Lepisosteus oculatus: one gene and its partner. Each later gene encodes a partner of the first gene's protein in a complex. Links are inferred from orthologs where the notes say so. Each region holds a gene or a part of one and is shown in the gene's direction. Other genes may lie near its edges. The genes, in order: crhr1 and crhb.

Region 1 (12,698 bases):
TGTTTGTCCCTCACAAATAGGCAGCATGGGATTTATCAAAAGTGATATTGCCATGTTGCAAAAATTGCTTAATGCAATTCAAGTTACTTTAAAAAAGACAGGAGAAAAACAAGCGAAAAAAGAGACAGTGGTTGTTTTTCCTTTCTTTATCTTGTGCAGCGTTGTGATAGCAGAACACAAAAATCTTGCTTTTTCCAGCAGTGGCATGTTGAAGGGATCGCTGGGACATCTGATGAAAGGGGGTACAGAATAAAAGAAAGGAGACTTTCTGAAAAATGCTTCATGCCCTAATATTAAAGGGCAAATTAAAGTCAGGTTGTACATTCAGACACAAATCAGATTGCCTAATAATGAAAAGCTCCGTGCTTGGTCAGTGTCACTTTCTGGTAAGTGTCATCAATCCAGCACAATGATATTTCACTAAGCGCCTGAATATGCATGAATCCATTAGAAGACAAAGGCAGGGAGAGGATCGGGAATTCAAGTCTTGCAGGTCATTGAGTTAAAGCCAATGCAAGTCTGAAATAATTAATAATGAAGCTGCTAAATTCCCTGTTGAAGCAATATTAACGCAGAGCTTTCAATCATGGTGCTCGCTGCATATTCCTCTGCAACACAAAAAAGGGAGAGGGACAGTGACTCCACTCCCTCCAGATTGCCATGCTATCAAGTGCAAAACTATAAAAGGTTTTAATGGGCATATGTTTTCAAGCCAGCCCTCACTGAGCCCGGTCACTGCAGTCAAACACACACGAGTATGAATTATGTAACACTTGAAAAGAAACAAACTACGCTGCAAGTGTTCGCTTTGTGCAGCACACAGCATTTTAAGGTTCATGCACGTTAAAAAGCTCATTCCAGGCCTCTGGAGTGGCTCAAACAGAGGAGTTTGTTAGGAATGCATACTGAACCCTGGAGTGATTGACGCCTGGACTATACCTGAGATTCCTCAAGTGCCAGTGGACACCTGGGCACATACACCTTCACAGATTGGGTATCCTTGCCATGACACGTGAGCTTGAATGCTGTTGCTGAGAGAGAGCTGCATCATTCTCTCTACATCTCTCCTTCTGTTCTGCAGGCACTCGGTCATGTACAGAATAAACAACAGCTCAGCAGCCCTGACAAGTACTGTACACGCTCTGGAGAGACGCATGCAGGGTTAACACCCTCTCCCTGGCGAGAAAGCTGGAGAGTTCCAGTGGAAGGCTATAGAAAATCTTGCAAACTTTCAAGAAAGGAAAAAACGCCTATACCGCTGGCTGGCGTTACAGGGTGAGCAGCCCCAGCTATGGAGAGCCAGCAGGTTTTACAGATGAGCTAAATGACCGAAGAGTGGCTCTCCCAGACCAGGCCAGCCTATACTGGGCTCGTGCACAGGAGGCAATCAGTCAAAATGCAAAAGTCACTTTGCGCTTTGATCAACAGGATTACAGTACAAACCGAGGGGAGGCCAGATAGTTTCCCCTCGAATGCTCAAGGTTATTCGGGCACAGGCCCTGCTGGCTCCTGCATGTGAGTAACCCCCAAGAGCGAAGATGTCCTCCTTAGTTACTAGCCTGTTTGTGAAAGTGCTCGTGGGCTTTTTAAATGATCTTCACACTCTCTTAGTTAGTACTCAGAGTATTATCTGTACTGGCATCTCTTTGCACTGTTGACTCAAGACAGCCGCCAGTGGGAATATTTTAAAAAGGAACCAATAGAAGTCTATTTTTAAGTGGTCTGCCTGAATTTAGACACCTAGGGATGGATGATAAGATAGGGATAGGATGTTTGTTATGTGTCATGTTTATTGAAAGCTACTGTAGATGGTTTTGGAAAGTGCCGTACAAAGGGTGGGTGGAAAGCTGTATTTGTTTTATTCTGATTACACACACTGGGGTGATCGTTCTACATTGCTCAGACACTGGTCATTGCATTGCCCCAAATCCCGAAGCCATCAACAGAGCCAAGCCATCAGAGACTTGGATTCACAAGCATTTATTGCAAATGTATTGCATTGAAGAATCAGGTAGAGACATAACTTAAATCTTCACCAGACACTAAAATCAGTGTAGACCACTGACCAGAGATGAGTGTATGCATAGTATAATGCATAGTATAGTATCTTGTGAATTACCCAGGCTTTTGCATCAGTTAGATGAAATCTTTTAGTTAAGCACACATAAAAATCAGTTGTTCGTCTTTAGTACATATTCTGGCCAATCATGTGAAAGGCATATATAAACTCGTGCTGGAATGGCTGCAATGGTGAAATGCATTCATGCCTTTGTAAAGTTGATGCGAGCAGGAGACATTAAGGTGTTTTTAGGTTGGGGCTTCAAAACCCGGGTGAGACACCGCTGATCTGCCCCCAAAACTTACTCTCGTAAAATCACAACTGTATAAAGGAGTGCGAATCGTAGCTGCTTTACACTAATGAAGTGTGTAATTTGTACGAACAGATGGTGATCAATGCTGGATGAAAAAGCAACACGTGTGAAGTTGTGTACTACCAGCAGGCTAGACTGTCAAGTGGACTACTCTGTGCACTTTTTTCAACTGCCTGCTTGCTTTTCCCGTTATCCTCTTTCGGTAATTTAACTGCCTGCACCTACGAGCCCAGGGACTCGGTATTCTGCCTGCGTTGTCCTGAGGGCCGCAGTTCCACTGGAAAGGAAGATTTCTGGGCTGCCTGCCGGTGGGCGTTGCCTAAGGGCTCATTAAAAAATACATTACAAATAATAAGACGGGAAGTGAAGACCTCAAAAGCTCTTTTATAGGCTATGGATGTGGCGTGTGATTTGCGATTATGCTGGATGTTTGAAGAGTTTACACTGAAAGACCTGTTACCGTTGCTTTTCCTTACAGGCAGTGTGCTGGAAGTCGATTCCGTTGGTCCAAACCTGCCAGCTTCTTCCTGAAAGCTTTTGCACAACGAAGATACTGATGTTTTACTTGCATGACAGCGTGGATCATTTTAAAGTTTGAGAAGCAATGCAGCCTCATCAGATCGTTGCAGATACTGCTCTGCAAATTAATAGATGTGTGGGAAGAGATACCCTTAGAGCAGAATAAATACAAATTTCAATTTGAACAGGGTTTCTTCACCAGTCTGCTGAGCTGTTGAGCTCTCATGCACTGCATTTCAAAATACACACATGTGACCCAAAATTAATGCCGCCGTTGTGGCATATGCGAAAGAAATCCACATTCTGGTGAATCATCCAATAGACTCTCACTACATGATTGATTGATTGATTGATTGCTGAAGTATGACATCGATTACAAAAATTGTATGCACTTTTCTTTAAACAATTGGAAAATGCAAGGTGTTGTTTCAAACTATATGGTTTACAATAACTTCTTCCCCCTGGCAGAGCAAATCGTTAAATAGGAAAAAAAAACTTAGAACACTTCACGGCTCTCATCTCTCAGCTTAGCCAAGGCAATCACACTAGAGCGAGCCAGAAGAGTCTTTCATTTCAAAGACCTGGTCAAAGGCAACTTGAAGAAATGCATCAATATCCACCCCTGGGAGATTATGGCTCTTGTCCTAACCCAATGAAGCAAGAATATCTGGATAGGAAACCAGCACTTTGCGACTCAATGATGTCAGAGCGAGAACCCAGGAGGAAGCAGAGCCCTGAAGCGAGCTGCCATGAGTGTATTGCACAATACATGACCACGACTTCTGAGATGACACCTCCTCAAGCTGCCAGACAGTCTGCAGATCTGGCACCGGCCTCATCAATCACCTTCAGCTTCGTGGAAGACTGTCATCCTTGAACGTGAGGGATAATAAATGAATCAGTGACTTTTGTCTGGCAATATTTAGCAGAACTGTCATGACAGCTGGAAATGTGGGGTTACAGGAGTGTCAAATTTAGGCCTACTGGTACTGTGCATCGTGACGACACCTTTCCATTGCCGGTAACTGCCGATACGCTGACATCTCATCAGTCTCCTTTAGTAGACCTCTACGGCCAAGCTCAGGCTTCTGTCCAGGCCTTTCAGTACACTGCAGTCCAACAGCCTGCCTGACTCTTGGCAGGGTGGATGGCTAATTTATGTGAAGAATCTCTCCCGAAATGAACTATCCTTTTAACCCCATTTATGTCTGTAAGCTTGGATCTCTACGAAACGTATCCATTACCAACCTTGTAATTGTCTGCATTATCAAGATGCTGCATCTTATACCATTTTTTCTAAACAGTTTGGAATGTTGGGTTTCAGCTCATCTCCTTCAGAGATTCATTCAAATGATAAATGGTGGGATATATTGAAGGATCTGCTTTATTCCTTGGCATTATCCACTGAGACCGCCTGAAATAATCAAATATTAATAGGCTTATTAGGCTACATCTGGGTTACTACATCTGCAGACACTCTGCTCTCCAGGGGGTAATACACTGGGCTTTTCTAACCCCCATTACCTTGTAAAATGGTTGCTGGACTGGAACACAAATCAAAGTTTTTTTTCCCCTATCTGCTTTTTCATTTCACAGGTTAAAAGACAACAAACCACAATAAAACTTCTTGTCTGGTCTTGTGGATGGGTGACCCCTAGATTCATGGACAGAGACTATGTAGTATCGCACTTCACAACAATACGGGTCTGTAGCAGCCAGTATGCCAAATCTTTTCTCTCTCTCTCTGGACATCACAATAGAGGGCCAAGAGCATTGCACCTGAGCTCCCTTAAGCTCTTTTTTATTCAATCTTTGATCTGCTCTGCATAGAAATGGCAGTGCTGATGTGTCCTTTCCATAACTTTTCCCCCAACCCTCTTCCGCCCCAACTCCTAAAATCCGTGACTGAAATGAAACACGAGACATGAGACATGAGAGTGATGTGCAGGTCCTTACCTGCTAGGACCAAACCAGGATTTGTTTCTTATGCTGGAACCATCGGAATGTTGGTAAAAGTGGTGAGAGATCAAAAGACATCAAACCAGTAACAATGGTTTACCACAGAGCACCCTAAACCACATCCTTCTGATCCCAGCTTCTGCTGGCCTGTTTTCCAGCAGAGTCCTCAGACGCCCCTCGGTAAGCTGAAGTTTTCACATTACTTATTCATCATTGCACCCAACTTGGAATCTACAGTTTTACAGCCGAAAACGAATTTGCAAGAAAAAAGGTCTGTTTTTGGAAGAAACTCATTTCTGGATGTCCTTATTCAGCTCTTTGTCCCTGTCGTTGGTCACTTTTAACAGTTGGTTCACACCTTAAAGATGTGGTTAGACAGCAGGAGGCTTTAAACACTGGAACAACTGAATGAGGCTGAGCTCAATGAATCCGTGCAAAATATGTTTGCAGGACTGAGCACAGAACCCAGTTTAAATAGTTATTTTCAAGCAATTCTATTTCATATAAGGGGGTTAATAATGACGAGCTCAACTGGACCAGAAACAAGAGTCGTGTTTGTTTCAGCACCAGGGCTGAGATATTAAGGATACTTCCTTCCATTAATATAATGCTTTTCATCCTGAAGGAACCCAACTGCTGAGCTTCTAAAGCAAAGCAATCCCTGTCCTGGGGGGGCTGTAAGGTTTTAGGGTTATTCAAAGCAGCAGCAGCACCAGAGTGGTCCACTTTAGCCAATGATGAGCTGACTGGGTTCATTAAGAGCCGAGTTGCAATTAAAAACCTGCAGACACACGGGCCCTCCAGGACCACCACGATCACCCTCAGCCATGAGGAGTAAGAGTTGTGCTACATTATTCATTATTTAATTGATCTGCAAGAAGCTTAAGTACTGTACATAACTATAAAACCAGCCCGGCTGTATGCAAGGCCTGGAAGCTATTCTTTGACTTCCTTCATATACAGAGCCCTGCGTTACTGGGAAACTGAAGCAAACTCTTGTCATTACTTTATAGCATTGCAGTTCCTGAAGAGTCCCATGCCTTCGGACTGATGCAGTTGGAATACTTAGCTGATCAGTTACTAAAATGATGTCCCTAACTAGACCTACAGATCTAAGATAAGATCATGTTTATTTTCACAGCTGATCAGGGCTATAAAATTAAGAACTCAGAGGGCTGGTGTACATGCACAGTTTTGTTCCAGCTTTGCACTTAAGCGCCTAAGCAAACTCTGTATTGGCTTAATTGGACCAATTCAGTAGTTTCTCCAGCTCTTCAGGGTGCTAGTGCTGGATGTGCTAAGCAGGCAGGTACCCTGGGGTTGTAGCATTAGATATAGACACCAAAGGACACAATGACTGGAGGCCAGTCACAGTGCAAACAAAGCAGGGTTTCCATATCAGGATGTTTGCCCAGTATGGTTTAAGGAGAAGGCGCATCCCATGACGTTGTCATCTAATGGAAAAAAAACTGTCATCTAATATAGCCTGGAACTGTTTTAAACAAACGCCAGGACCCGAGCTTGCCTGGTACTCAGATTTATTATTTTTTTAAAAGGGGAAGAAAACACATACTGTAGAACAACAGAAGATTTCTGATAATTTTTTCTTTTACCCTTGAAACACTCGTGGTTTATTTAGAGCAAATAATGCAGCACATTTCCTAAATTCGCCACCACCGTAGTCTAATTAGGTATCGTGCTAACGCAGCACAAAGTGCAGAGGTGTTCACACCTGGGAACAGCCTTGTGCGATTTCTATCATTATTGCTCTTCAGCGCAGAGTAGCCGATAATGAGACGCTTTAAGAGTAAACAACTATCAAAGCATTTGTTTGAGCAAAAGGCACTGCAGGTAGGCATCAGCGATTTCCTTCATTTTCTAAAGTAGCACGATAGCAACATAATTTATATCAGCATGCCTCACGGGAACCGCAAGAGAATACTAAATGGCTTTTCGGGGTGAAACAGTTTGGCAGAACTCTATATCATCTGGGTAGTATATAGCTTGCTTTCCAATCCACACCATCTTACACACACGAAGCAATTTGCAGGTAGTCGGCTCCATACAAGAACTTAAAAGATATAGAGGCGTCCGCCTTCTTACAGACATCAGGTTATTCCAGAATTTCAACCACTGTCTCCTCCGGGGAAAACAAACTCTTTCGTTTTGCAATTTTCTCTCGGCCCGTTTGGTTTAATGTGCTCCTATGATCATTCCGAAGAGACTCCGATTGTACTTTTCTCCGTTTAGCGTGAAATTTGATGTTTCGTGTAAACGGAAAGCGAAGAGAACAGTACAGCATAGTTCGGCTTTGATAACCCACCCCAGGAAAATAGGCTAACCCCAAAACCGGTGTTGGTAAACGTAATTTAAAAAAAAACAACTATTACAAATCTATTATATTGGTATTAGTTATCTAATTATTTAAATAAATGACTATAATTGAGCTCAAACGCAACCGGTGGGTTAATCGGTAAATTTACAAATATTATTGTATTCGAAGTAAGCAATTAATGTAATGAATTGTAATCAGTTAATGATAACGTGCACTTCAGAAATGTTTTCAAGACCACGCAAAAAATGTCCATTCAACCAATATTCCGTCAGGTGGAAGACGTACAGCGTGTCTCCTGAAACACAAGACGATTTGAAAAATGATGTTGATGATGAGCAGAGAACTTTCTGAAAGAGATGGGATCGAAAATCCATAACCCTCGAATTGAAGGGGGATAATTAATGGAATGTCATAGGAGCTGCTTTCTGACTGAATGCCTTTTTTGCTGTACGACAGCTTCAGATGAGATACGAGCCGGCGGAGAACATGCCACAAGCGTCCGCACGTTCTTTTAACCGATTCGCTCTCCTAAAGCCTCTGAACGGTCTTTTTTTTTTTTAAAGTCGCTATTTAGATTCCGTTTTCAAGCTGAAGTACATGAAGAACAAGTCATAGGTTTAATTCCATGCTGAAAAGAGACGTTTCGGCTGTGGAGCCTTCTTCGGGTCTGAGGAAGACAGGGCAGGCAGCAAAGATGAAATAACACAGGAAAACAAAAGTTGGGAGAGGGGAGGAGGTGAAGAGAGGGGTAAAGTCGAAATCTGCATGTGAATAGAGAAGATTGCACGAAAACAAGTCTGACGTTGAGAGAAGGTGTGAACCAGGTTTCAGGATAATTTTTGTTTCTGATGTCTTTCTGCGGCGGGAGTTGAGAAACCCTTCATTGAGAACTCAGATGGAGAGATCAATGTGATCAGGGCCGTCAGAGGTGAAATGAGAAACTATGGGCTTGGAGAAATCTTTACTCTTCACAGCCCTGACATCGGTCTCATAGGCTCATAGGTGGCGTTCCCCGACACCAAGAAGACCTACTGCTCCGACGCCTTCGACGCTCCTAGTATATGAAGAATGCTTGTATACACTATATTGTACATTTACATTATAAATAAAATCGGCCAGCATCGGCCAAACGGAGTTTGGAAATAAAAGGAAAGACATCGACACCGCGTTTCTTTGTGCTGTGACAATTTCCCGGAGCCTAATTTCATAGTTTGTGGCGAAGGTAGGAAAATTACATCCCGCTGCGTGTTGCCGTAAATTCCGACACGACTCCCTCAACATGATGCAGTTCTGCGCAGCGAGGAATCGTGAAACGAACATGTTGAATGTTGGTTAATCGCTTACGGACTTCAAATTCTGGTACATCTCGTTAAACCGACAAGGGCCGGAGGGTTATTGATAGGTGAGAAACGAAACACCGGTTTGAAATCAGCGTCTGATTTATATTTGCAAATAGTCAATGTGTTTATTCTTATCCGTTTATTCAGATAAAAGTAAAACAACACGGTAACAGCAATTCCTGAGCTCCTGTCAGGTTTGCCGGCACCGAAATAGGTAGGAGATCCCCATGGTAACATATACTGTAGCTTGCCCCAGAATAAAGATAGGAGTGGTCTTATACGCGCTGCACAGCTCGACTGCTCTCAGTGCGCAGTAAGCTCCCGTATTGGCAGGAGGACGGGATAAAACTAGTTAAGAAACCAGACCTCTACTACAGACACAGAAACATGGACCGGGAGTGATATCTGCAACCGACTGAAACGCCGGGTGACACCAGCAATCGGGAACTGGTTAATACTGTACCCAAAGCGAACTGTACTGTAAACATCAAAACCCTTGTAGATCGCGACAGGGACATCCTTCAGAGTTTAAAAGACAGACATTAAGATGAAGAACATAAATTGGTTTAAGGGCGCAGTTCGACAGTGATAGTGGTGCAGGGGGTCTGGAGAAGCGCTCTCACTCTGCGGGAGCCCTGAAGTCGTACGGCGGGGCAAATGACCGCAGGCTGCGGCAGGAGTCGCCCCGGTCACCGGATTCCCAGCCAGGACGCCGGGCGCCCCCGCTGATACCCTCAGCCCCGAGGCAGCAGCGCAAGCGTGGCCCCCCTGGAGGACTCGCCGGGCGATGCTGTCTCCGGACGTGCCGGAGTTAGGAGCTATTCTGTGAAGGATCCCCGGCAGCTCGGAGCATCCGGACTGTTCCGAGCGTCAGCGACAAACTGCACAGGAGTTGGGCGGCAGAGCAGATAACGTCCCAGCAGGCACGGAAATCTTGCCGGCTGAACTGCCGAGTGCAGACACTTGCTCTGCTAAGAATTTGGCGACTGTGGCATTGCTTTAGTCTGAAAGAAGCGGAGGCTCGGATGGACAGGTCGCAGCCTTCAGTGAATCTATAAACAAGGGACAGGCAGCATAACGTTTCAGCGCGCTTTTTGGAAGGCTTGGACGAATGCATGTAGCGTGTGACCGATTACCATCCACAAACAACACAGGCTTTGATTGGAGGAATTCAATATTAATAAAAGCATGACTAATAATAAAAAGCAAACAGATACACCTAATACGATTGGGTATCATATTGGATTCATTAAACCCGATGAATTTGGGTTCACCGAAACAGATTAACTCGAGTTATGGAGCGCGTATTATCCAGAGAATTAGATAAAGCGCCTGTAGGTCAGCGATAGGATAAGAGGAGTTACAATAAGCAAGCACCTCGCTGGGATTTCGAGAGGAGACCGATTAATCTTATTTTGAATGTAAAACACTCCGGTATAACGCTCTAGAAATTAAACTGCTTGCGCTGAAGCTTTTGCTATGATCATGTAAAGTTGTTTTTTTATGTCCCATTTTTCCACGTATGAACTCTGAAACCAAGAAAAGGATTTTGAGATTGTTTTTCTTGTACGAAAACTGACTCCAATGCTTAGGATTAAAATCAGGTACATACTGTACACGATATGCACAGTAACATGACTGGGGATATTTCACGGCCGCGGACATTTTAAACTGGATACTTTTGTAGTCTACACGTTTTTTAGACGGAGCTATTAATGCATAAACACAGAAAAAGAAAAAAAAGCCATGCGATGATTATTACAAAGATGCGGAAATTAGCGGGACTCACTATGACCGCTGTGTTGGTGAGTTCAATACAACAGTAATTCCAGCACAGACTCTGAAACGTTGATCTTCTCCGGTCAGCCTAAGGAAGAAGGACTATCACTTCACCCAAAACATCTCTTTGTGTGAAGACAAGAGTTCTGTCATTTCTGCTAGACACATGTGCCACCTCAGTTACAATCCCAGAAAAATGCTTTGCGCCCAGATTCTGCAGGTGAGTGTGTGTACCGGTGGTTTCGGGTGTCCTATGCGGACAGGAGGGGCGAATGCGCTCGCTTATTCGTTGCGCTGATAGCAGAGGTTAACGGTCTGACCGGTGTTTTCCTGCTACTCAGGCAACGTTATCAACAGCACCTGGAGAATTTAATACAGAGACCGAGGGGTTTGGTACAGTATGTATCTTTAGAAATACAACTTCCATTCGAAAGCATCGTGATCGGCAACGTTTAGAATGAACTGACATCCAATAACACATACAGTATCTAATGGCACTTATATTTGCATGGGGGAGGTCTTTTTAAATGATGATTTTTAAGTTTTGCCAAAAAGCTGTACTGTATATTCTTTATATTTAAGTTTTGCGGAAAGATTCTGCGCAATACTACGGTAGTGTAGTGAAACCTCACTCCTATTCAAAGTTAAAAAGCTCCAGACATTTCACTAGTCTAGCTGATTCATGAAATTCGCCGTAGTGCCTTGGGGATAGTATGTCATTCATTTCTGAGCCGGTGCGACTTTGTGGTTCGTGGTTTAGCATTCATGGATGCTCGCTGTGAACACTCAAAACAAATACTGTAGGTCTGAAGAGGGGTTTAACAGCGTTTCCATAGTATTAAAACGTCCTGGAAAAAGTTAAATGTTAATGCTTGCTAAACACCGAGTACAATCATAAAACGATTATGCCCACTTTATTATGTAATAATGACCTTCCGAATCACTGTTAATGAGAATGGACAGCTGTACTCACGGCGACTCAACGAAAGTGGGGAAAAAAAACCGAGATCGATCAGTTACCATTGGAAAAGTTAATGACTAATGTTTAAGTGTTCCGATATTGCATGTCCCATTGGATAGGCTAGCTACGGAAAAAGACCATGGTGACGAAACAAATGTATATCCAAGCATCCGATACTTAACATAGGAACATAACACAATGCCCTGTGGTATCGACATGTACAATGTCTGTCCAATAAATACATGATGAAGGATTTTTCATTTACAGTTTGAATGCCAGTAATTATAGTAGGCCTAATTGAGGTTATTGTCAAATGAACATATACAGTAGCACAATGTACGAAATAGCAGAAGCAGCCGCAATGTCAGTGGTAACATGCAGCCTGGCCCCTAGCTCATTTGGACGCCGCGTTATTAGTTCAACACTCCTGCGACGGTACGCTTTAGGTCATATTTTCTTCGGCGTCAGGGGTCTGAGTTCAACATCTTTCCGGCGATGGCGTTTTCACTTTCACTCCGAGAGCGGCTCTGTCTGTGTCTGTGTCCGTGTGTGTGTGTGTACAGCGCCCCAGGGCGCAGGCGTGAGAGAGCCACTACATACTGTGCGCAAGTTCATTTAGTTAATCCGACAAGCAAGGCTTCTGAATTAAGATTTTTCAACATTTGAATGATCCTACAGGATTTACCAGGCTCTTTTTAACAACAAGGGAAAATGGTTGAAAACTGTTGAAGTGGACCCTGACAGCCAGTTCACCGGGAGTTATTTTAAAACCTGTACTTGGCATTTTGCGATGCAGTTTTGCAATGGATGTAACTGCAATAGGAGAGCGATTGTTCGGTTACCCGGGGGATAACAGACACAACGCCACCCCTAAAGCAATTAGGAATAGCACTTTGCATTCCTGCTTTCAATTTAGACATTACAAATGTGCATGGGGTCACTGGTAGTTCAGAGATGGGAACTAATGCCATTGTCACCTACTCATACCTAGATCGGGGTAGATAACCTGGGCTGTTCAACTGTGTGCCTCGTCTAGGACTTTGAACTTTGTGATGAATCAATTACTGGACTGACCCTAAACTGCTTAATTAATGCAAGAACTGAAGATTGCTTCAACAGCTAATCATTAGGTGGAGCAAAGAGTTGGCTGTAGGCTGGAATGGAGATGGATCTATTCTTGACCACCCACATACCAGTATACAGCTGGCTCTGATGTGCACCTCTCCACAGTCTTTCACTAACCTGCTGACCTCTCCGCGCAAGGTGTTGAAACTGCCCCCACACTCCTGTCAGGCGGGGACTGAGCTGGTTTTCATCGCCGTTTGTTTCTCCAAGATATGAATGTCCCAAAATAAGGTGGCAGTGACATTCCCAAAAGATTAGGTGTATTGTTTCCACTTGCACAGTCCGTTCAAAACAATCAAGGAAAAACA
Region 2 (12,698 bases), on another chromosome or scaffold:
CCACTATTGCAGGGATAGCTGTGCATCGTGTTGAAAAACCATTGCTGACTGTCCTGCTACATGTCAGCATGGAGGCTGATTGATGCCTTTGCTGTTAAGAAGCAGAGCTGTGCACCCAAGTAATGCAACAGGAAAATAGGAGCAGATGGTCAATCTGTAACTTATGCACGACCTGTAGGTTTCTATAAAGAGCTGTGGCATTTCCATATATTGTCATACTTTTATATTTCACATATCAGGGCTAGTTAAAGGTTACCTGACTCTGGCGAAGTAGAAATAGAAATAAAGAAATTAAAAAATCAAATTATACATTACTCAGAACTGGGTAGTCACATGGCAAATGCAGTATTCAGAAAAAGAAAAAGTTGGGTAACTAGTGACATTGATGTCTAAGCTGGGGTTTTCACTATGAGCTCTAATATTAATTTCTCTTGAAACAAATACTGCTATATTCAATACCTATGCTTTTGTTTTTAATAATGTCAAAGTCAAGTCTGCCCTCATGGGTCAATAAAAGAAGTTAAGAGTGCTAACCCTCTTAATTTTGAAAAGGAAACAGTATAAGCACAATTGCCATAATCACTCTACCAACTGGTTTCACTTTGACTTCAGTGTCTGGAGTCAATGCTTGATAGTCAAGATAAAAATCAAATAACTTTCTGTGAAAGAAAAGCACACAACTTTGAATCTGAATGAGAAGAAGTCTCAGACATAATAGCACCAGACGTTGGGCATGTTACAATGAGCTTTTTGGAATACATTGATGAAGAAGGAAACCAGACGTACAGTGTGATTACAGCCATTCCCAGCACAGGCAAGGAAAACAGCTGTAGTTGATGGCAGTGAAGTTATCAGAGATAAAGGGGAGAAGGTACAGTATCAACACCCACAGTTCGCGGACTGGGAAAGCAGAATTACAAAGGCTGTTCCGCAAGATGTAAGCCTCTCATTTGACTGAGAACAGAAAAGACAGATCGGAATTTGTAAGGAAACCCCCTCATTTGTAAAGCATGATGCAGGTTATGTCATGGACTGGATTTGCATAGCAGCCTCTGCAACTGGTCCACTCTCCTGTATTGACAATGTAACTAAAGATAGTGGCACAAAGAAATCTTAAATTGACACACAAAAAAACATCAGTTCGTGTAAAACAAAATGTTTTTGTACTTACTGGGCGGTACTTCACCCCGCAGCCTGACAGTGACCCAAAACTATAGCTCATGCATCCAAGGAGTTTATCAGGGGATAGAAGTTAAAACTATGACTATTCAAGTCAATCTCAAGATTTAAATCCAGCAGAGCATGTATTTTACATGTGGAATAGAATCAAGTGAAATCTTGAACACTCTGAGAATAGGAGCCACCTCAAAGTGGCTCAGAAAAAGCTTGGCCAACCATTTCAAATGATTAAGATTTTGGGGAGCTTAATGGGTTTCCTTATGATTTATCGCCTCAAAAGGACAGGCAGCCAAATACTGATTTTTACCTCTGAAATTTACTTGAAGTGAATGTTCCACAGTACTTATGGTCACTTGTAATCATTGGGCTTAACACAGACTATGGCTTTGTTGTTATATGATTTTATGCATGGAATTACCCCAAAAATAAAGTACTTGTTACATTGTACATAGCATTCATATTAACGATCACAACGATAAATAGAAATTGCTTGAGTGTAAAGCAAAAACAACAGTTCTGTCTTTCTTGTCCCAGTAACTTTGCGCTGTAGGTCTTTGTCGATTTGTCCTCACCTAGATAGTATGGCAAAGCATTTAACAGGCTGACACGTCACAAAGTCCAGGGTCCAACATAACACAAAGAGCTAGGGACATATCCAACTGTAGGTTAGGAGGAAACGTGTGAAGTACTAAACATAGGGACTGCTTCTTTACAGAAAGACAAGAGCATCTCCAATAAAGCTTTCCAGCCTTGCTATTGAAGTAAAGTTATTCTCTGGCATCCCTCAAGCCACATTCAGCAGAATGAACAGTTGTATTGTATGTCGGTGTGTTCAGTTTGGGTTCTATTTGACTTCTGAGCAGTGTCCACAACACAGAGAGAAGAAAACAATTGTTCGAGACCTTACAATTGCGAACTGAAGTTCGCAGTTGTACAGTAATGCCGCAATGAAGGTAATTAGAATAATAAAAAGTCAATCCATCCACATTTAGCGTGCTACATCTTCAATTGTACTATCGTGGTTGATTTTGCTATTGCATGCTTGATGCTATCTTCTCATGTCCACACAAGTATTTCAGCCTTCCGTCTGAAAACTGTTTCCTAAGACATCCTGAAACACTATGTGCCGCATTAACTCGAATTGTAAAAATAATACCAACGTTCCAGTAAACTCACAGAGAGAGTGTAATTGAGTCTTCCTCCTACAGTGCCTTAAAAATAAACTGTCAAAACCAATTGGTTATGAGAAATGTTTGTTTGTGTCGCTTGCTCTATTTCATATAATTGCTCTGTTGTGAAAGAAGAAAAAAGTCAGACTACATATACCATGCAGTTCTTCTATGACTCATCTCGTTTGCTGTATCTCTGTACTAGAATATCTTTGTCCCAGAGACGTCCTGTCAAAGATTAATGGTGCTGATGAACAGGACGCCACCTACCGTTCCCAATGTGCTAAAACCTGTTAGATAACGAGAACAATTATCCCTTTAAATGCATTTTAAATATAAGACCGGTTTGGAAAAAATGCTAAATTATCCGTTGAGTTAAAACAAACATACAATAGAATGAGTCCTAATTATAATCTCCCAAATGATGTGTACCATACACCACCCCGATTTCTGTTATTGAAGTATGTGATGTGTTTATGCTTTATATGTTTGAAAAAGAACGCATATTTACATATGTATATGTATGGATTACAAATTAAAGGACGATAATACCACGCAATAGTTAACTACTTGATCATTCTTGCCATAATTGCTAAATGCACACGTCACCTCGTTTCTCAGGAAATACAGCATAATGAGTCAGATCTCTAAATATTATTTTGCTTTACTCACCTTTTATTAATTTATATTTAATATCTGACTCATGATCTGAAAACAACACAGGATCACCTATTTGAAAAACTGATTAAGATGATAATGAGTGAAATAAATCTCTGTCATATGGGATTAACACATTCAATTCACGGGCTGGCAATGAAAAGCGTCTTCTTCATCGAGACCAGCTATTACAGTCTATTTCTATTATTGAGGCTCAGTCCGTGTTTTTAGAGCATTAGAGCAATGGAGTCTGAAATACTCTCTAAAAACACAGCCACGACAAAGAGATGCAGCGATTCCTAAGAATGAAACTTGTACAGTGTGACGCGTGAAACGAGTTCTCAAATGGATGAGAGGAGGTTTTGTGTTTCTACTTTTCTACTTCAGGAAATGCAGAACTGGTTGAAATGGGTGTTTTTGCCTATTGACAGAGCACCGAACACGTTTCTAACAGTATTCACAGAGCTGCTCCTCTGTTATTCCTCCTGTGGAATAGAAGAAACGTCAAAAGTTTGTCAGTTTGCATGAAGAAAAACAGTCACAGTGCATGGTTCGCCATTAACTAACATTCAATAAGCAAAAATACTCGGATTGTGGATTGGAAATTACTTGATTAAATTATTTATACTTGTATGGTATTTTACAAGATAATCTAAACTTGCATCCACACAGAATGGTTCGTTTCTAAATCAAGATTTGAAAGCGCTTGAGACAATAGCGCTGATCATGTCTTAATACACAATCAAAATAAGCAATGACGGATATACAGTACAGAATAAGAGAAGAAAAAAAACAACGTGTTATAAACAACTTGTGATGTATACACATACTGTATACTCTAGAAGCTTAGTTCTTTTTTCCTGTAAGATTTAACGCCAAACGGATGGATGAAACATAATCAACCTTTAAAATCAGATCACTTTCAGACGGGAAAACAATCTCGAAACATTTACTGTAGAATGAAAGAGCACGGAAAACTGCGAAATATTTATCGGGCTGTGACACAATGAGTAAAGTAGATTTTTTTTTTTGTAGCGAAGTAGTTCAGGTGTGTAGCTGCGCCAGCATGCGTAGACTGCAAAGGAACAAGTAAAGGTTTAATCCATGCTGAAAAGAGACGAAAGGAAACACAACATTACGGAAGGCTCCACAGCCGAAACATTGTGTTTCCTTTCTTCTCTTTTCAGCGTGCAATAAATCTTGACTTGTTCCTTTCTTTTTTTTTTTTGGAGCCAAGTTATTTTTACAAACTGCGAGTATCGAACTTTGGGAAGAACTGCTCAAGCCTTTACGGTTTCATTTTCAGTACCAAGGACAGAGACAAGTAATTTCTGTTTATTTTTGACCACAGGATGCGAAAACGAATGTTCTAGGATGCTCAGGCGTTAAAGAAGGACTGATGAACAACCAGACAGAGCCAGGTGAATCCTAATTGAGAAAGCGATCGATTTCTTCTTCCGTTATCTGAAAACTTCACTACAGTTTCGGCGAGAGACGTTCATTCAAATAATGGGGAAAGCAACAAACGGTGGCACTTCTTGTGCGTAGAATTACGTCACGGCGATCGGACACAAACTTCTGGAAATAATTGGACTCCTGTTGCGGAATAAATTTGCCCACCAGCTTTTAAAATTCATTGTTCATTCAGGTGTCTACCCATGCAAATCACTGCGCAGACGCAAGATCTGAGCTCAGAGCGTGACACTTGTCACAGGTCTTGGGGTATAAAAATCCAACATCCAGGCTTTCTTTGAAGAAGTAGTTCGTTTACAGGTGTCTTTACAGACCGGTAGCAAACCTGGAAGAAAACAGCATCTTAACTGTGAGCCTTATCTGGTCACCAGCGTCCACGGACATACGTACGGCCATTCTCTTGTAATTCAGGTACGGGAACTTGAAAACTATCTTTTAAGAGCCTCGTAATTTTGTGGTGCAATACGTTGTTTATAATAAGTGTTTAAATAGCGACAGAGAAAGTGTCAGTGTTATACGTTTATTATTTCTTATTTCCGAAACTGAAGGTGCAGGAAGCTAGGAAGTCAGAAGTGTATCTGTTTTTAATACTGTTTTAAAACACAGTGTGAGACTCCGACACTGCTATTTGGTGTCACGGATTAATTTATTTTTTATACAAGTAGAAATCTAGTTTTGTAACACCAACAGATTCCTACATTTTAAAGTTTTCATCCACAGGTTATTAACATTGGAAATTCAAATGTATAAGAAGTATGGGCCTTTATAGTAGGGAATATACAGCTGAATGTGTGTTGTGTACTGTACATATAAGTTTGCCTTCGTATTGCTTTACCTTATTCTGTATGTTTTTCAAAGGAAGGGAAAACACTTTAAAATGATCATTCTGAATTTTTGGCATACTGTAGATTTTTTTTTTAATATTGCACACATTAACAAACAATTTGGAGCATCTCAATCTCTATACAATTTATTTCTGGCTGAAGCGCCTACTGTCATAATGATAACTGTTGATCTGCTGTACATATCAGTACAATTCAGTCAATATCTTTGATGCCTGTAAACCTCGGAAAGGCAATAAAAATATACACAGAATGTCCACTCTCCAACACGAAACGCCGAATGACGTTTTTCGGTAGGGTGAGAGTTTTGTTTAACGTAGTTCTTTTGGTGTCTGTTTGGAAACACGCAAACTTAAGTTTTTAAAACAAAAAAAAATCGAATCTCTTTCCTCTTCAGGTTCCCGCTGATATCCTGTCATGAAGCTCAATTTCCTTGTTTCTACTGCTATCCTGCTTGTTGCCTTCCTGCCGCGTCATGAATGTAGAGCTATCGAAAGCCCGGGGGCTGTCCAGTCCGGTCGGGGTTCCGAATCTGAGCTACAGGAGCTTTCCCTTCCGCTTTTGGTGAGACTGGGAGAGGAGTATTTCATTCGCCTGGGCAACGTAAATCAGAATCCCCCCTCGTACCTGCCCAACATGTCCCCCGACGCGTCCCCGGCTAACGTCAACAGGGCTTTCCAGATGCAGCTCACACAGCGTCTCCTGCAAGGCAAAGTTGGTCACCCCAACCGGCTTCTGAGCAGCCACGATGACCAGCTGGAAGACCTGACGGGAAGAGGGAAGCGGTCCGAAGAGCCTCCCATTTCCCTGGATCTGACCTTCCACCTGCTACGAGAAGTTTTGGAAATGGCCCGGGCGGAGCAGCTTGCCCAGCAAGCGCACAGCAACAGAAAAATGATGGAAATCATCGGGAAGTGAACGTGACACAGCTCCATCTGCCAAAGAAGTTTTACATCTAGCACAAAATACACAGTATCCTGTACCATAGCGCTGCTTTTACATTATTTATTTTTTATAGCTTTAAACCTCAAACGAAGGAAAATGATGAGGAATCGTAGCCCGCTCGATGGTTGGTAATCAGACTGGCTCATACATGCAAGATAAATGCGTCATTTTAATTTGTATAACTGTTGTAACAGTGATATTACAAAACCGTAGCATTTACACAAAACCTTTCACATTTTCAAAACAAAAAAAACCCAATATATTTTAAGTAGAATTGTAGGAAATTCACTAATTTCAGAACGCCGTATTCAGAAATGGATGCCCTCTCTGAAATTCAGTTTCCCTGTAATCTACCTTGTTTACGTTTGATAATAAACATAATATGAGCAACGAGTCATTTTTTTGTTGTGCAAGAGAATGTCTAATATTTATATTTTTAATAAAAGCTTGAAAGTTACGTTTACATTTCATTGTGTAAATTCTTGAGTGCCAACACCTCTCACAACGTGCACCAGAAGTGTGTCATTAGGTGTTTTACCAGTGGTATTTTCAAGGTTGAAAGTGTTAACTTGGCATCCATTCATTCACAAGCAATTTCATTACATTCTTTAGCCATGTAGAATGCATCAGCTGTTTCAGACAAGGTGTTGAATTGCTATAAACCCCAACCCGCTCTTTTCAGTCACATCTCCGTCATATCGTGCGTGTACCTAACGGTACAGTTAATACACCAGCACAGCGAGGCACTTGTCTTCACCAGTCGCTCCTCGCTTGTTGTAGGCTCCATGTCTGGAGGACAAGGCGAGCTACTCTTTAAGGGAGTTTAACCAGGAGAAGGAGAAGACGTGCCGAGGTCCGTCGCCGCCTTTGTCTTCTGCGTTTTGTTGACTTTCGCTCGGTCCGCCGGCCGCAATCTCAGAACCAGCCTGTTTAAAAGGAAGCGAGGAAATATTGGTGTATTTTCAATATCCCATTTGCTGTTTTTCCACTGCAAAGTTAACAAAAGTTAACTACATTACTCTAGATATTTTGTTGGTTTTGGTACCCTTACGTTGTTATTTAGTTTGAACTTGAAACCTTATATTTACTATGGCTATATTAATTCTAGTAACGGCGGCTTGCTTAATAAAGGGAATTTTTCTCATATTTCTGGAGTAAGATAAAATTATATTTCTGACATATTTTATAACGTTGAAAAACTCTTTCTTTTTTGAAAATGAAGTTAAGCTGCACACAAATATCGTCGCCTACAGTTATGTCAGAGGTAGAAGCGGTTGTGTGCACTCAGTAAACACACCAAGATACTGAAAGGCGTGCGCTGCACACGGGAGCAAATCGTGTACAGTATAACGTATCGTTGTAATCGCCTACGCTACAATTGAGGTAGTTTATACTGCAAATTTGTTCCGCTTCCAGCCCTGCCGACCCAACGTTAAAAGCCCGAGCCTAAATTGTTACCAGGTAAGAAAGTATTGTATAAAAATCAGCTATTATTTTGTTTTTTAGTAACATCAGCTCTGAAAAACACATACTGTACTAATAGACAATGACGGAAAGAGAGAGAGACGCTTTAGTATTTTGTTCTTACATCTTTTGAGGGGTGTTTGATTATGAATAAAACAATGAGGAATAATTTGTGGATAAATCAGATGGACCATACAGCTACACTTGCAGGTTCTTAGTGCACCCATCCACTGGATAATTACTTTATTCAATTCAGGGTCGCAGGGGAGCCCAAGCCCAGCAAGCAGCAGACACAAGGCAGGTATACGATGGACTGGGATGCCAGTCCATTACAGGGCACACATTGACACAGACTCACATCAGAGGCAGTTTTTCCAGAAGCCAATTAGCCTACCAGCATGCTTTTTGACCATGGGAGGAAACCCATGCAAACACAGGGGGAACATACATACTCCATGCAGATAGTAGCCCAGGAATTGAACCCAGGGCCCCAGTACTGCAAGGGAGTAATGGAACCACTGCACCACTGTGCCACCTATCTGTCCCTTAGTATCCAATTATCCTATATAAAATGCACATGATATGGTTTGTATGTTTTCAGCCATTTATTTGACACACTGCACAGATAACATTAATATGTATAATGAATTTCATCATAAAATATATCAGGGAAATCTACGATAGTGGCTCCATATTATTAATAATATGCCTGATTTAAAAAATAATTTACTTTACTTTGAATCATGCTATATATTTAAATCTACTGGGCCTCACAGAACGTTTTGATTATTGCTTGAAGATATTACTTCCACATAAGACTGTATATTTATAAAACAGAAGTTCCCGCAAACAATCCACTCAGAAACTTATTTACTGTAATGTGACAGCTGAAAGGGGAAAGCAGTTTGCTAAAATAAATAAGGTTATGTTATAGTTTCTCTATAAGAGGCACTAACCTACTAGATTCCATAAGTATAATGGTGAGGTTTTTGTTGAGTCTCTTTAAGAGCGTATCTCTGAATGTCATCCTCTGACATCTCTCCTACTGTAGGCGTTTTACCATAAAACTCATGAAGTCCTGGTCCAGTCCTGGTCCTAGACGGCTGGTGTGTCCACAGCTCTCAACGGCTAAAGCAACTAATTATTAGCTCAAGTAAGCCTATTTAACATCTTCCCATACAAGTGGTAAGAAGTCTGGCAGAGTAATACTGTGACTGCCTGCCAAACTGGATTAGTCAAAGGACTGGGCGATGGTTACAAATGCCAGTTTTATGACTTTAATACTCTTGATCACTCATCCTATTGATCAATTTCCACAAAATGGGTGTGACGCCTCTTCAGAATGTGAGGTATAGCTTTACATTCAACTGCAGCACTCTCTGCTTCTATCCTGATCTCATAAGCAAAGCTGAGTCTGGTGAGTGCTGGGATGACTGATCAAGGAATACCAGTTTGCTGTTCTAAGTGGTGATCATGAACCACTAGCAGGGCTAAAAACTTTAAACTATATAGAGCACAGAAATTAGCTCAAGACCACTGGACTGTTGACTGTCTTATCCATGCAATCATATCTATCAAACTGGCTGCCAAAAAATCCCTAGAAAACCAACAAAAAGAGACCCAGATTCCAAGTGGCAGAAGATGTCACACCTACAATCAAAGGAAAAGTGTAGCAGGCTAGGCTATAGAGAGAGTAATTTACCACAAAAGGACATCACATGTATTCTACTACCTGTAAATAGGATCGCCAGGTGGTAATTTGGCATTAATTATATTACTGGTGATGATTTATTTACACATTCTTACACGGAACTCACTAATGGTGTGTTTGGCATGAATGGGTTTTACAAGTGTACAGTAAGTCAGCGGCTGGATTTTCTGTTTTTATTCTGTAACATTTCTGTTACTGAACAACTCCCACAATGGGTTTTCAGACTCTCTAGCGGCAGGTCTGACAATATTTGTTTTTAAACATCCTGAATACTGAAATTATACCATCAACGTTCTTTGCAGATTTTACACATCACATGGCAGGATGGAGAGAACAACAAAGGTGCTCTCTCCCAGGCAGACAATATAAGTATTGAATCCATGAATATCTATCAACAGCCCCACTGGGCTGTTTGTGTTGGGCAGATATCAGACTGCACGCTCTCAGAGAAGGCTTTCTTCTTCCAGCAAGACATATCAGATGTCCTAACCTGACAGATTGATGTGAAGAGTCTATGTACAAATTCCTCACTTTTACTACAGGGAAATACAAAACCAGGGCTGAAGAGGCCAGACCAACCCTGTTGCTTCCTAACCTTGACTTCGCATGCAACCTGATGTCTTTCCATTTCCCCTTTATGCCTGTAGCTAAACTAATGGCTAATCCTGTTTGGCCAGGAGCATACATTAAACAAGTGAGACTGTGTTCCCTAAAATAGCAGCAGTTGGTATGTTACTTTAGATGATTAACCTTTTTGTATTCCATCTCCTCAAGAAATTAAACCTTACTTCAACCCATTGTGCTCTCTCACCAGTCCAATCTGTCACCAGTGTAGACAACCCTCGCTGAATGTTAAACACTTTCATAGAGCTTGCAGACAGCTGGAGACAGTTCCTCTCCTAACATTGTGGAAATGTAGAACCTTATTTACATGTATTATTAGATCTTATGTATTTAGTTTCTCTCTGTCTCTGGAGTGTCTCATGAAGAATGTTACATCAATATCAGCTCCTGGGAAGTTATAATGCAATCTGGGAAAAAAACCCACTGCTTTCAGGCTCAAAGGTATCAGCCTAAGTAAGCTAAACAAGTGTATCAGAGAGATATCAACAAGACCAGATTGCACAGTACATGATCTCTTCAGACAACACCTTCTCAACTGGCAGGGTATGTTGGTCTTTTCACTCACGTACGGGTTCATGCAAGACAGTCATCCTTGACTACAAGGCATAGCCAACGAGTGATCTATTGAGAAATTTAACATTAAAGAGTAAAATCGACCTTCACAGACTTCCTTTTCAAGTATTTCACCATTAGTCTTTAAAAAATGTAATTAAATAGCTGCCTTGTTATCACTTTCAAGGCATTCATACATCTATGTGCACATAAATACTTGAGAAAACCAAAATCACGTAAAAAGATTTTGTCCATTTTTGCATCAGAATACAGTGCAGCCCAATGAATTTGAACTAACCATCATATCCAATTATTTTATGCAAAGCCTTGGAACAATGGAATACATCCTCGAATAGTCATAGGTGGAGGATTTAGTCAATTACTAGTCAAAAGATGTCAGTTCTATATACCATTCCTCATTTATTGTGCTTTTATAGGTGGAATAGAATGGATGTGGAAAATCATAAGGTCACATCTTTCATCATACAGAACACTGAACTGAAGGAGATGTGTTTGAAGTATACTACAGCATAACATTCCAACTATTAATATTACATTTTAAAGGTTGTATCCTGTTACTTGTTGGTTATTGATGTCATGTTATCTCTTGATTCCAATTATTTTGTGGGATTTACCTGTACTGCAGAGTTTTTTTAAAAATGTACAAGTTAATAAATTGTTTACAGGACCTTGGTAGAATAAAATATGTACTGTATATCTTGTACATCAGTATGGATATGTATAGATTTAGATAAGTGCAAGTATATTTTGAATGTGAAAAATGGGTAAAGTCCGTGGTGATGGTATATCTTTAGAGCCCACATGACATTTATTTTTTATTACGCTTGCACTAATAGTCCAAATTGGTGCCCAGTGTGTATTATCCATATCTATCACGGCTGCTCATTTTATTCTGCCAAGGCAATCTGTCAAAATGTAAGTAAAACTAAAAGGGTAGGAAGGATAATTGGAAAGTGTATTTGTAAGTGTCTTTTGTCATGTTGTTTTTTTCACTTAACTCTTCTTAATAAGCATGTGAACGAGTCAAAAAAAATGCTTAGGAATCTTACAGAAGGGAAGTGTACTTTTCCCGCTTTTGCAATTGTTTATTAACTCTGAAAAAAGAAAACTAGTGTCCCGTTATTTTAAAACAGGATGCCAAAAATTAATTGAAAATTCCCCCCACACACAAAACAGTACTCCAAAGTCTCATTTCAGCATACAACAGTGATAAACTATATTTCGGAGGAATTAGTTTGTATGCAAAAAGGAAATAAGTATCCTACCCATAAAAGTTACAATCACGCCCTGAATCTGATTCCAAAGGTGACGGAGTATCATAAACAAAGCCAGAATTGTCAGGCAGAAAGCTAGCCCCTGTGAAAAAACAAAATACCAAAGCTTCATGTCTGCACAGTTCTATTAAACCAGATCATTTTAAACACTGAATGTTGAACAGTCACATTTAACTCTTATGGAGCCCATTGAGTGTTTGCACTGATGATAACCTCTTGCCCTCCTACAGACAGATAAACACAGTGCTGATCATTTGTGCTTGATTGGTCAACTTGCAAACAGTTTCAAATAAAGTATCATCCCACTGGCATTGATCCCAGCCACCTGTGGGCTCAAAGCACACAAAACTCTAGCACCACAGTCTAGACAGCAGTTAGCTCCTCTATGCCAAAAGACTGGTCCTCTGTGGTAGAGGTTTACATTGTCTAGCTTTCAGAAGGGAGGTGATCTCATTTCTGTAACTTGCTCAGTACATGAGTCCTGTTACACTGCCATCCACATTGACATTTTGGTGCCATTGCCGAGAGTACTGGGTTGTTCACCCATACTGACTTTTTATATTAAATACGAAATGGTGCTTTTCACCTAAACCTGCAGCTTGGAACATCTCCCTCACTCATAGCAACACTGAATATAGGTATTTATGCACACATAACTCCAGTTATCCATTCTGAACCTATTTGAAAAGGGTTCATTTAAGAGGTACAGTAGCAGTATACTTGAGAGTCTGCTCTGCATCCGAGCTGTAAAGAAACAAGCAAAAGTTCATTCCATAATGAATAGTAA

What was found.
Region 2: the proteins of crhr1 (region 1) and crhb are in contact, whole or in part, in a cryo-EM structure (PDB 6P9X), measured with the Homo sapiens proteins. The link is inferred for Lepisosteus oculatus from reciprocal best matches to the Homo sapiens genes CRHR1 and CRH. Residues at the interface, in NP_004373.2 of Homo sapiens: Lys113, Tyr116, His117, Ala119, Val120, Asn123, Trp169, Val172, Gln173, Met176, Ser177, Pro178, His181, Thr192, Tyr195, Asn196, His199, Phe203, Phe260, Gly261, Lys262, Tyr267, Tyr272, Gln273, Met276, Ile277, Leu280, Tyr327, Phe330, Phe331; in NP_000747.1 of Homo sapiens: Glu156, Pro157, Pro158, Ile159, Ser160, Leu161, Asp162, Leu163, Thr164, Phe165, His166, Leu167, Leu168, Arg169, Glu170, Leu172, Met174, Arg176.

Annotation. Positions count from the first base shown.
Region 1 is NC_090723.1:8,134,574-8,147,271, reverse strand, and holds the start of crhr1 (corticotropin-releasing factor receptor 1), read left to right. Parts: upstream 1-6,612; 5' UTR 6,613-6,641; coding exon 6,642-6,701; intron 6,702-7,552; exon of another isoform or gene 7,553-10,470; coding exon of another isoform or gene 10,471-10,524; intron 10,525-12,698.
Region 2 is NC_090701.1:51,254,372-51,267,069, reverse strand, and holds crhb (corticotropin releasing hormone b), read left to right. Parts: upstream 1-4,235; 5' UTR 4,236-4,889; intron 4,890-5,717; 5' UTR 5,718-5,737; coding exon 5,738-6,238; 3' UTR 6,239-6,701; downstream 6,702-12,698. Other genes in the region: trim55b (tripartite motif-containing protein 55b), read right to left, coding at 7,072-7,191. UniProt on the Homo sapiens protein: Hormone regulating the release of corticotropin from pituitary gland. Induces NLRP6 in intestinal epithelial cells, hence may influence gut microbiota profile.